2 linked regions of the Oryctolagus cuniculus genome follow. The protein of the gene in region 1 purifies or fractionates together with the protein of each later gene. This does not show direct contact. Links are inferred from orthologs where the notes say so. Each region holds a gene or a part of one and is shown on either strand. Other genes may lie near its edges.

Region 1 (4,138 bases):
AGGCAGGGAAAGGCTTTATGAATCACCACGAAGAGGCTTTTATTTAGCCGAGCAGAAGGTGCAGTCAGGCAGGGAGCGGGTGAGATGACGGAGCAGGGGCGTCTGGAGTCTGGGGGCCGGGGGCGGCTGCCGCCTGGGTCTCCGCTCCCTGACAACATGGGCAAATGGACCAGCTACAGGCATCCTGTTGAATTTCTACTCTCCTGTTCGCTGTGTGTGAGTTATTTAGCCTTTCCTGTTAAATCTCCCCATCTATGAAATGGAAATACAATCTGCTTCTTCCTGCTGAGAAGAATGAGGCCGAGACCAAGCCTCAGTGCCTCGATGAGGGAGGTGTCTAATAGCTACTGAAAATGGTTTTTCTTTGTTGCAACATGAGAAAACACAAGCTTAAATAGAATATGGGTTGCATAATGGAGGCCTAGAGGTGCAAGGGAAACTTTCAAACTGGCTGCGGAGTTGGGAACAATGAGAACGCTTCCCTTTTGCTTGGATCTTGGCGGCTCATGCTTTTGTCCCCTCCTTGGGTGTGGGGAGTGGTGGTAATGATGTGATCACAGTTAAATCGTGGTCACGTTCTGCCAAGGTGCCCTGAGGCACCTCGTGCCTGGCATCTCTCGGTCTCCCACAAGGTCCAGTGAAAAGCACAGTGACACGGCACAGCAGGTGTGGCCTGGAAATTGTCCCTTCTGACAGTTGCTTCTGAGTCCATCTGACAAAGTGACGCTGGCCAGTGAGCAGGGCGTCTCCCTGGCCAGCCGGGTTCTCACAGGTGCTGCTCCCCGAGGCATCTGCTTCTGGTGCAGTGGTCACCTGGCGGCTGCGCCACACCTGTGACTGCTGTGCCCACCCCCAGGGCCCTGCACCTGGTCCCCACTGGCCAGGTTTACCGCATGGTGTGGCGCACCTTGCCTGCAGCTGAACGCCCTGCTGGGGTCCGTGAGCACCGTTGTTCTGATCGGGTTGTTAATTCCAACACATGCCCTTGCTGCAGGCTTGAACTGAAGTTGAAAAAGGAGAACTGGGGTCCCTGGAGTGCTGGGGGCTCTCGGCAGGTGCAGTTCCACCAAGGCTTCGGTGACCTGGCCATCCTCAAGCCCAGTAACAAAGTGCTACAGGTCAGCATCGGACCCGGGCTGCCCAAGAACTCCCGTAAGTGTCCCAGGGCCCTGCCGGCGGCAGTGCTGCTCCACACCCCGCTCTTGTGACCAAATGCTGACAGTACATGCCCAGCTCTGGGAGGCTGCCTCAGGATAGCTGCTGCTTCCGGGAGGGGGCGTTCCAGGTCCGAGAAATATTGAGGGAAACGGGCAGCTGACGACTTTATGAATAGCGTGCCTGGCATTACAAACTTACATTTATAATGCACAGAACAGCATCATCACATGGGCTGTGGATTCGTATGCCCTACAGATAGCCCATCAATGAAGAGGATGCCACATATAAAACAGGCTTTGATCAAACCCCATCTGCAGAGCTATGCATTGGTGTGCTCTCGGATATGTTGTGCAGTGCCGATTACTATTGTCATATCTGTATGTGTATGGACCCACTCGGGAAGCGTTGGTGTGTGTATATTGATCGGCACTTAATCGGATAGCACATTTCAGTGACGTTTTTGAAGATGCTTTTAAATCAAAGGTGGGGGTTAGAGGGAAACAAGTAGGGTCCCAGGAAAAGGCAACATTATTGCCAGCAGACCTGCAGCAGCAGAGGGAGAGAAGGGTTGAGCTAAGGATGCAGACAGGAGGCCGGCACACTCAGTACCCAGCCCCTCTGTCCTTGGCATTCCTGTCTCCTGCCTTGCGCCTCCCATTGGCCACACCCAGCTGGCATGCAGAGGCCTAGCCATCCACGGGGCTCAGACCGCAGGGCAGAGTGGGGCACACTAAGGTGCATGGGGTGTTCAGTAGGCCCAAAGCAGAACATGGACTCACAGGGTAGTTGATTACACCCTCCTGGGTGGGGAGGGGTGGTCTCAGTACCACAGGGAGCCCTGTGCCTGGTGCTGGGCCTCACAGCCGGCTCACCCAGCATCCCCTCCCAGGACCGCAGGGCTGTTCCCTTGCTTGATGCCGTATGTGCTCGGTCACTTCTCACCTTCCTGTGTTCTTCAGTTCTTCTGTTTGCAAGAAATTCCCTCTGCATCCCTCTTGCAGCTGCTTATCCTGCCCTCCTTCATGGCCCACTTGAGACCTTTTTACTGTTCTCAGATATGTCTCCTGGCCCTGCCGTCCCAGCCCTAACTCCAGCCCGCAGGGGTGTTGCCTGGTTCCTGCACGTCTGTGGGGAGCATGCAGATCTGCTCCCCCTTCGTGGCCTCTGTGCCCGGTGGGCAAACTGTACACACGAGCTCGTGTGTGAAGGGCTCCATTCACAGGCAGGTGTGCAGTCAGTGCGGGATTGTGCTGGGTGCCAGTGTCCGCTGTACAGAGCCCAGGTGCTGAGCTAACACTGGGCACTTCTGTGTGTGCAGTGTCTACGGTCGCTCTGTCTTTGAAAAGCCGCCATCTCCAGTAATGCAGAACTGTGCCTCTGTGGACACGTGCTCCCGCCTCTCCCACCCCGGGGCTCCCTGCACTGTACTTCCATGGACTATCCCGTCCCCTCTGTACCCGTCCCCTTCCCTAAAGTTTTCCATGGGAACCCTAAGTCGCGCTGACTTTCACTTTGTCTTGCTTGTTTATTTCAGGTCCTACCAGAAGGAACACCATCCAAAACAGAGGTTATTCCAGTGGGACTCAGAACGCCAACTACCCCATGAGAGCTGCCCCGCTTCCCCCAGGTGAGCCACCTGAGCACCGTGACTGACGCCACTAAATCTGGACCCGGGCGTTGTCCATTATGAATGGGAAGAAGCCCATTAGCACGGAAATGCAGCCACGGACCGATGCAGCGCCAGGTGTCCTACCGACACGCTGGCCCTACTCGTGACCCCCAAACTTAGGAGAAGTGACGGTGAGACTGAGCCGTCACTGCGCTAACGGTCTGGGTTTCATCACCCGTCTGTATGACTCCCTTAGGAAGACCGTCCTGCATCCGTATCCACAAAAGGAACCCTTCTTCCGTGACAACTGAATGCTGTCAGTTTTAGGATGTGGGATGCTGCCTTCATGGAAATGGAGTCGGTTGGGTCTAACCCCACCCCCACTAGCCAGCTCCAGACAGATCCCTCTGCGGTATTTTTCAACTAGTTAACAGCTTAAAGAGTGGGCAGAAAAATTTATTCTTAGTTAGAATCCGGAAGATCTGTTCTCAAGTCAAGGCTGGTGTTGTGGCGCAGTGGGTTAAGCCACAGCTTGCAATGCCAGAATCCTGTCTCGAGTGCCAGTGGGAGTCCTGGCTGTTCTGCTTCCAATGCATCTTCCTTCTAATGTGCTTGCAAAGGCAGTGGATAATGGTCCAAGTGCTTGGCCCCTGCCACCGATGTGGGAGACGTGGACGGAGCTCCTGGCTCCAGTCTGGCCGAAACCTCCTGGCTGTTGTAGCTTTTTAGGGGAGTGAACCAGTGGATAGAAGATTCTCTCTCCCTCTCTCCCTCTCTCCCTCTCTCCCTCTCTCCCTCTCTCCCTCTCTCCCTCTCTCCCTCTCTCCCTCTCTCCCTCTCTCCCTCTCTCCCTCTCTCCCTCTCTCCCTCTCTCCCTCTCTCCCTCTCTCCCTTTCTCCCTTTCTCTCTTTCTTTGTTGTTCTGCCTTTCAAATAAATTAGTAAATCCCTAAAAGAATTTTAAAATTGTTGCAAGAGGGGTTTGGGGGGCCTCTATATTTTCATATTTCTCATTCTTCTGAAAATAAAAAGATAACTTGCAGATCAGTAAACAACAAGCCAGAATAAATTGAAGATTTTGTGTCCCTCCACATCTGTTTCATGTTTCAAGAGCACTTTGGAGATTGACATGTTTTCCCATCATTCCACAAAATTCAATTCACAAAAAGCTGTTCCCAGAGTGGTGGCTGTTTAGTCAATTTAGGGTTCCAGGTCCAAGAGGGCGGTTTTGGGGAGCTCCCGTCTCAGATCATCCCTGCGTACACCTGTGTCCAGGACAGGCAGTGAAAGCATCTCTTGTGTCTCCCGCCCCGGAAGCCTCCTGGCCATGCTCACGTAGAAGCCAGTGCCCAGGCCGGCGCAGCGGCTCACT
Region 2 (4,863 bases), on another chromosome or scaffold:
CAGCAGATATTTTGATTATCTTCCAAGAGACAGGCAGCCTCTTCCTACTTGTTCAAGGTTTGCTTCCTTTTGGTAAACAGAAATTTCCCAAGGCTGGGGTTCCTGCAAACGTAATCCAGGCCCCTTTCCCATTCAACTCTCCATTTTGAAAAACCAACCTCTCGTAGAAACACTGAAAGCTCACTGCTATACAGCCTTACGTAAATACTTTTTCTTTTCAATTGTTGTTTCCCCAAATATTTAACCAGCGTAAAAGGCTGACGAGGCTATGGTGAATTTGTGCACACAGCCCTAGCCTCCTGGGAGATTTAATCTGCTAGATCAGAGGTCACCTTTTTTTTTTTTTTTTTTTTTTTTTTTTTTTTTTTCCTGTAAAGTGTCAGATAGTAACCGTCTTGGACTTTGCAGGCAGCTACTCAAGCCTTCGGTCCTTAGTGAAGGCAGCGCAGACAATCCATATACAAACGGACCACGACCGCCTGCTAACGAATCTTTATAAGGGCCGCTGCATCTAAATCTCACCATATTTTCACGTGCTACAAAATACTGTTGGTTTCTCTTCAGCCATTAAAAAAGCGTAGGAAACTTCTTAAAAAGCCGTACACACTCAGGCAATAGTGGGCCTGAGGACGTCAAAGCCTTTCTGTGCGACTCTGTGAGTGCTCCGCACTCCCTGTGCGTTCCCGTGCAGGGAGCGCGCCCATTTCCCGGATTCGCACGGGACGCTAAGCCCCAAGCCGTCAGGAGCACGCGTCCTCCTCTGGCCCGCTCCGGGAGGCCAGAGTCCCACGCAGACCCACTCTGCAACGACCCCCAGGCCCCGCGAGGCGGTGCAGCGGGGAAAGGCCGGCACTCACCTGGCTCCGGCTCGCGTCTCCGGCGGCAGCGCTGCAGAGGCGACGGACAAGTGCGCGCCTGGCGCTGACCCGCCACTCCCCACCGCCTTCCCCCGCGCTCCGCCCAGGTAGGAAGCCGGCCAGGTAGGTGCGGCCCCCGAAGGCGCCCCTGCCCACCCGGGTCCGACGCAGCGGCCAGCTGCAGTCCGCGACGGGGCGGGACTGAGGCGGGGCTCCGGGGAGCGTGGCCTCGCGCGCGCTCCCGCAAGGCTCCGGCCCCCTTCCGTCGCGGGTGCGCGCGGCCAGACCTGCCCTGGCGCGTGTCTGCAGCGCCCTCGCCCGGTCGCTGCTGGTCCCGCCGCCGTGCGCGCCGCCCCGCGCTCCGAGCCGCGGCGAAGCTGCCACCCTGGGAGCCAATTAGCGCGCGGCGAGCCGGCGGCCACTTCCTCGTCGGCCCGGCGCGCGCCCGGGAGGGCTCCGGCCGCGGGCGGGGCGGGGCGGGCCGGGGCGGAGCGCTGGGCCCGGCCGCTCTGACCGCGTCCGTTCCTCGCGCAGCCGAGTCTGGGCGCAGGTCCTTGGAGGCGCTGGGTCTGCCAATCACACAAAAAGAAACTTTGGGGGCGTCCGCAGTGCAGGCTGACTGGGCGACCGGTTGGCTTTTCTCGTTGGGGTCTTTGGGAGTCACCGCTCCAGGAAGCGAGATGTCGAAGCCGCCTCCCAAACCAGTCAAACCAGGTAAGGCAGGCGCTCGCCGGGTCCTCCGGCCGCCTCGGTGCCCTGCGCTTCCTGTGCCACTTGGCAAGGCGGACCGGGCGCGTTCCGGCCCCGAGCCTCGCTTTCCCAGTCAGACTCCCCACCGCCGGGGTCCTTAGCTTTGCTGGATCACTTTTGGAGAGCAAAAGGATTTCGAGGATCTTAAAAAAAGAAAAAAAAAAAAACTTGTTAAAGAGGCGTCGCGCTGGGGTTTGCAACGTTGTCATGCGCTCCACCTTCTCGGGAGTGCGATGGCCAAGTCCCGTCGAAGCTGTCCAGGGAGCCAGGGCCGTCGATCGCCTTAGAAAACGGAAAACAGTGTGGCTGGGAAGGCTCCTTCGCCACTTCCTCTTTCTCGGTGCGTGTCACTGTCAAACTCCAGTTCTTGACCGGCCGGGGCGAACGGGAAGTGCGCGGCCCGCAGGGTGGGGTGATGAGCCGGCCGCCTGCGGGGCTCGGGAGCCTGGCGACGCTGGGTGGGGACCCCGGGGTCTGCGGTGGGGCGTCCGTGGGTCCCTCCGGGCTGCGGCACGGTCACCTCGGCCGTGGCTTTTCGCAGGTGCCGCGGTGGCGCGCAACCGCGTCCTCCGCCTCGGCCTCTCCAGGGGCTTGGGCGTGACGCTCGCCAACTCCTCCAAGCAGTTTTCTTGGCCGATTGTTCTTGTTCGTTTGTGACTCTCAAAGTATTCTCTGCGTTAGAGAGAAGCGAGAGCGTTTAAAAGGGGCTGACATTTCAATTCAGCACCGTTAACACACTCTTAGGGACAGCTGAGTGTGTATTAAGGGAAAGGTAGGAAAAGGTAGATAAATGACCCGAAAGACTCTCAATATTTTTTTCTTCCAGTCTTGTAATTTCGGAATAGCAAAGGCTGAAACTTAATCTGTTTACGTCAGGTTTTGAAGTGACTTCAGTAGCAAGAGGTAGTCGCGTGGGTTCATTATATTCCCTTGACCTTCCTAAATGTTGGGTAAGCTCTACAGCTTTAGTGATTGTGAGGTTGTCTTTCTTTTGAGATCATTCAGTGGCGGGCTCAGGTTCCTGTACTTCAGAACAGTCACCCTTGTGCAATAGTCAGTCCATGAAGGTTTCCAGTTTGGTCAGCTGGGTGTGAAGGCAGCTGCTGAGTCTGGCCACGCGGGGAGCAAAAGATGGGGCAAAGCTCTGCTTTGCTTGTGGAATCTGACGAGGAATTTGCATGTGAAGTATGTATGCACGAGATGTCAGCTTTCTAAACCCAGATGTAAATCAGGACCTCTAGTGTCCAACAAAGCAGAGTCGGTTTTTGATTGCTAAGCAGAGTGCTTTAAAGAGTGTTCTGAGAAGCAGTTCATCTCTCCAGACGTAAGTGATGCCTGTGTTGCATCTGGAGGGCAGCGATAGGAGTGTGTGTGTGTGTGTGTGTGTGCTGCCGCTGAGTGTGTGCTTGCTTGTGTATTCATGCATGCTTGGGTGTGGCTTACGGAATCATCCTGTAACTAGTTGAGTGCTCACTCCTGGGAACCATTTTTGTTGTATGATTTGAAAGGCAGATTGATACAGAGGGAGAAACTGAAAGAGAGGGAGAAAGGGAGAGAGGGAGGGGGAAAGAGAGAGAGAGAGAGAGATCGATTTTCCATTCTCTGGTTCACTCTTCAAATGGTCTCAACAAGCAGGGATGGGCCAGACAGAACCTAAGAACCAGGAACTCCATCCTGATCTCTTCACGTGGGTAGCAGGGGACCAGGTACTTGGGCCGCCTTCCACTGCTTTCCCAGGAGTATTAACAGGGAGCTGGGTTGGAAGTGGAGCAGTGGTGCTGCGGTACTCAGATAGAGGATCCCTGTATTGCAAGTATGGCTTAACCCACTGAACCACAATGCCTACCCCTCCCTTCCTCCTGAGTAACTCAGAAAGCACATAGTTAAATATGACTGCTGTTGTAGAGAACTTTGACTTCACAGTAAGTTGTCAATGAGATCCAAACACAAATACAGACATTATAGAAATCAGTTTTTTTTTTTTTTTGGGGGGGGGTGGCGCTGTGCTATAGTGGGTAAAGCCTCTGCCTGCAACGCTTGAACCCCATATGCACACTGATTCAAGTCCTGGCTGCTCCACTTCTGATCCAGCTCCCTGCTAATGCTCCTGGGAAAGCAGCGGAGGATGTTCCAAGTGGTTGACTCCCTGTGCTCAAGTGGGAGACCTGGATGAAGCTCCTGGCTCCTGGCTTCCTGCCTGGCCCAGCCCTGGCTGTTGCAGCCATTTAGGGTATGAACCAGCAGATGGAAGATTTCTCTGTGTCTCTCCTTGTCTCTTTCAGTAACTCTGCCTTTCAAATAAATAAATGAAAACAACCTTAAAAAATCAGTTTTTTTGCATTATAATTTACGCTGAGAAATATTAGTGTCAGTCAGACTTGAAATTTTGTATTGGCTTAATTGCAAACAGAAGTGTCCCAACTTTTACGTGTATTAATTCACTTATTTTTCCCAACAACCATGTGAGATCTGCATTGTTTCTGTACACATTGCACAGGTGACAAGATGAAGACAAGACACAGAAGTGTTGATTGACTTGCTGAAAGTCAAATTCTGGGCAAAGAGGTAGCCAGTAGGATTAGAACTCAGAGTGAATTTAAACACTATGTTATTTTGCTTTAGGCATGGTGTACCATTCACATGAGTGGTCATGTGTTTGTTGGAGCTGGTGGGCAGGAAGTGAAAAGGAAGGGACAACTGGTCTTCAGTCAGACTTCCTTGTGACACTGCAGAGAAAGGTCACCCCCTGGATGGTAGCAGCAAGGAGAATGGCTCTGAACTTGAGCTAAGGATGGACCAAAGGGTATTGGATAAGCTTTGGACCCTTGAATCATCTTATTCTAAGAAGGCTTGATACCAATCCATTACATTTGGAACCCTGATGTCTGACCTTGGCTATTTCTTTCAAATGGCGTATTGATTTTGGTGGTGGAAGTAAAGCAACATAAATATTTCATGTGTCTTGTGAAAATAAATTCCTGTGACTTTGAAGAAGCAAATGTCAGTGTTTTGAGTTCTTTCGTTAGTCGTGGTAAAAACATCATAAAACTTCAAAGGCATCGCACATATGCTGCTTTAGTAACACTTTGGGGAGGAAAAAGTCTTCCTCTAAAATAACTTGAACTTCTATGTAAACTTAACCCTTTGGATAAATGAATTAATCAAAGGTCAGAGTATGGGGTTGGCTTTGAAATATGCACATGCCTTAACTCTGAAACCATCTTGAAAATTCCAGAATGTTAATTATCATGTTGAT

What was found. The genes of interacting proteins can lie anywhere in the genome.
Region 2: the proteins of MYO1E (region 1) and OSTF1 purify together in Homo sapiens (co-immunoprecipitation; 3 studies listed by BioGRID and IntAct, counting the BioPlex papers as one, with this or other methods). This does not show direct contact. The link is inferred for Oryctolagus cuniculus from reciprocal best matches to the Homo sapiens genes MYO1E and OSTF1.

What each region holds. Positions count from the first base shown.
Region 1 is NC_091443.1:82,023,898-82,028,035, reverse strand, and holds part of MYO1E (unconventional myosin-Ie), read left to right. Parts: intron 1-994; coding exon 995-1,152; intron 1,153-2,692; coding exon 2,693-2,785; intron 2,786-4,138. UniProt on the Homo sapiens protein: Actin-based motor molecule with ATPase activity. Unconventional myosins serve in intracellular movements. Their highly divergent tails bind to membranous compartments, which are then moved relative to actin filaments.
Region 2 is NC_091432.1:155,170,556-155,175,418, reverse strand, and holds the start of OSTF1 (osteoclast-stimulating factor 1), read left to right. Parts: upstream 1-1,814; coding exon 1,815-1,947; intron 1,948-4,863. Other genes in the region: NMRK1 (nicotinamide riboside kinase 1), read right to left, coding at 858-1,816.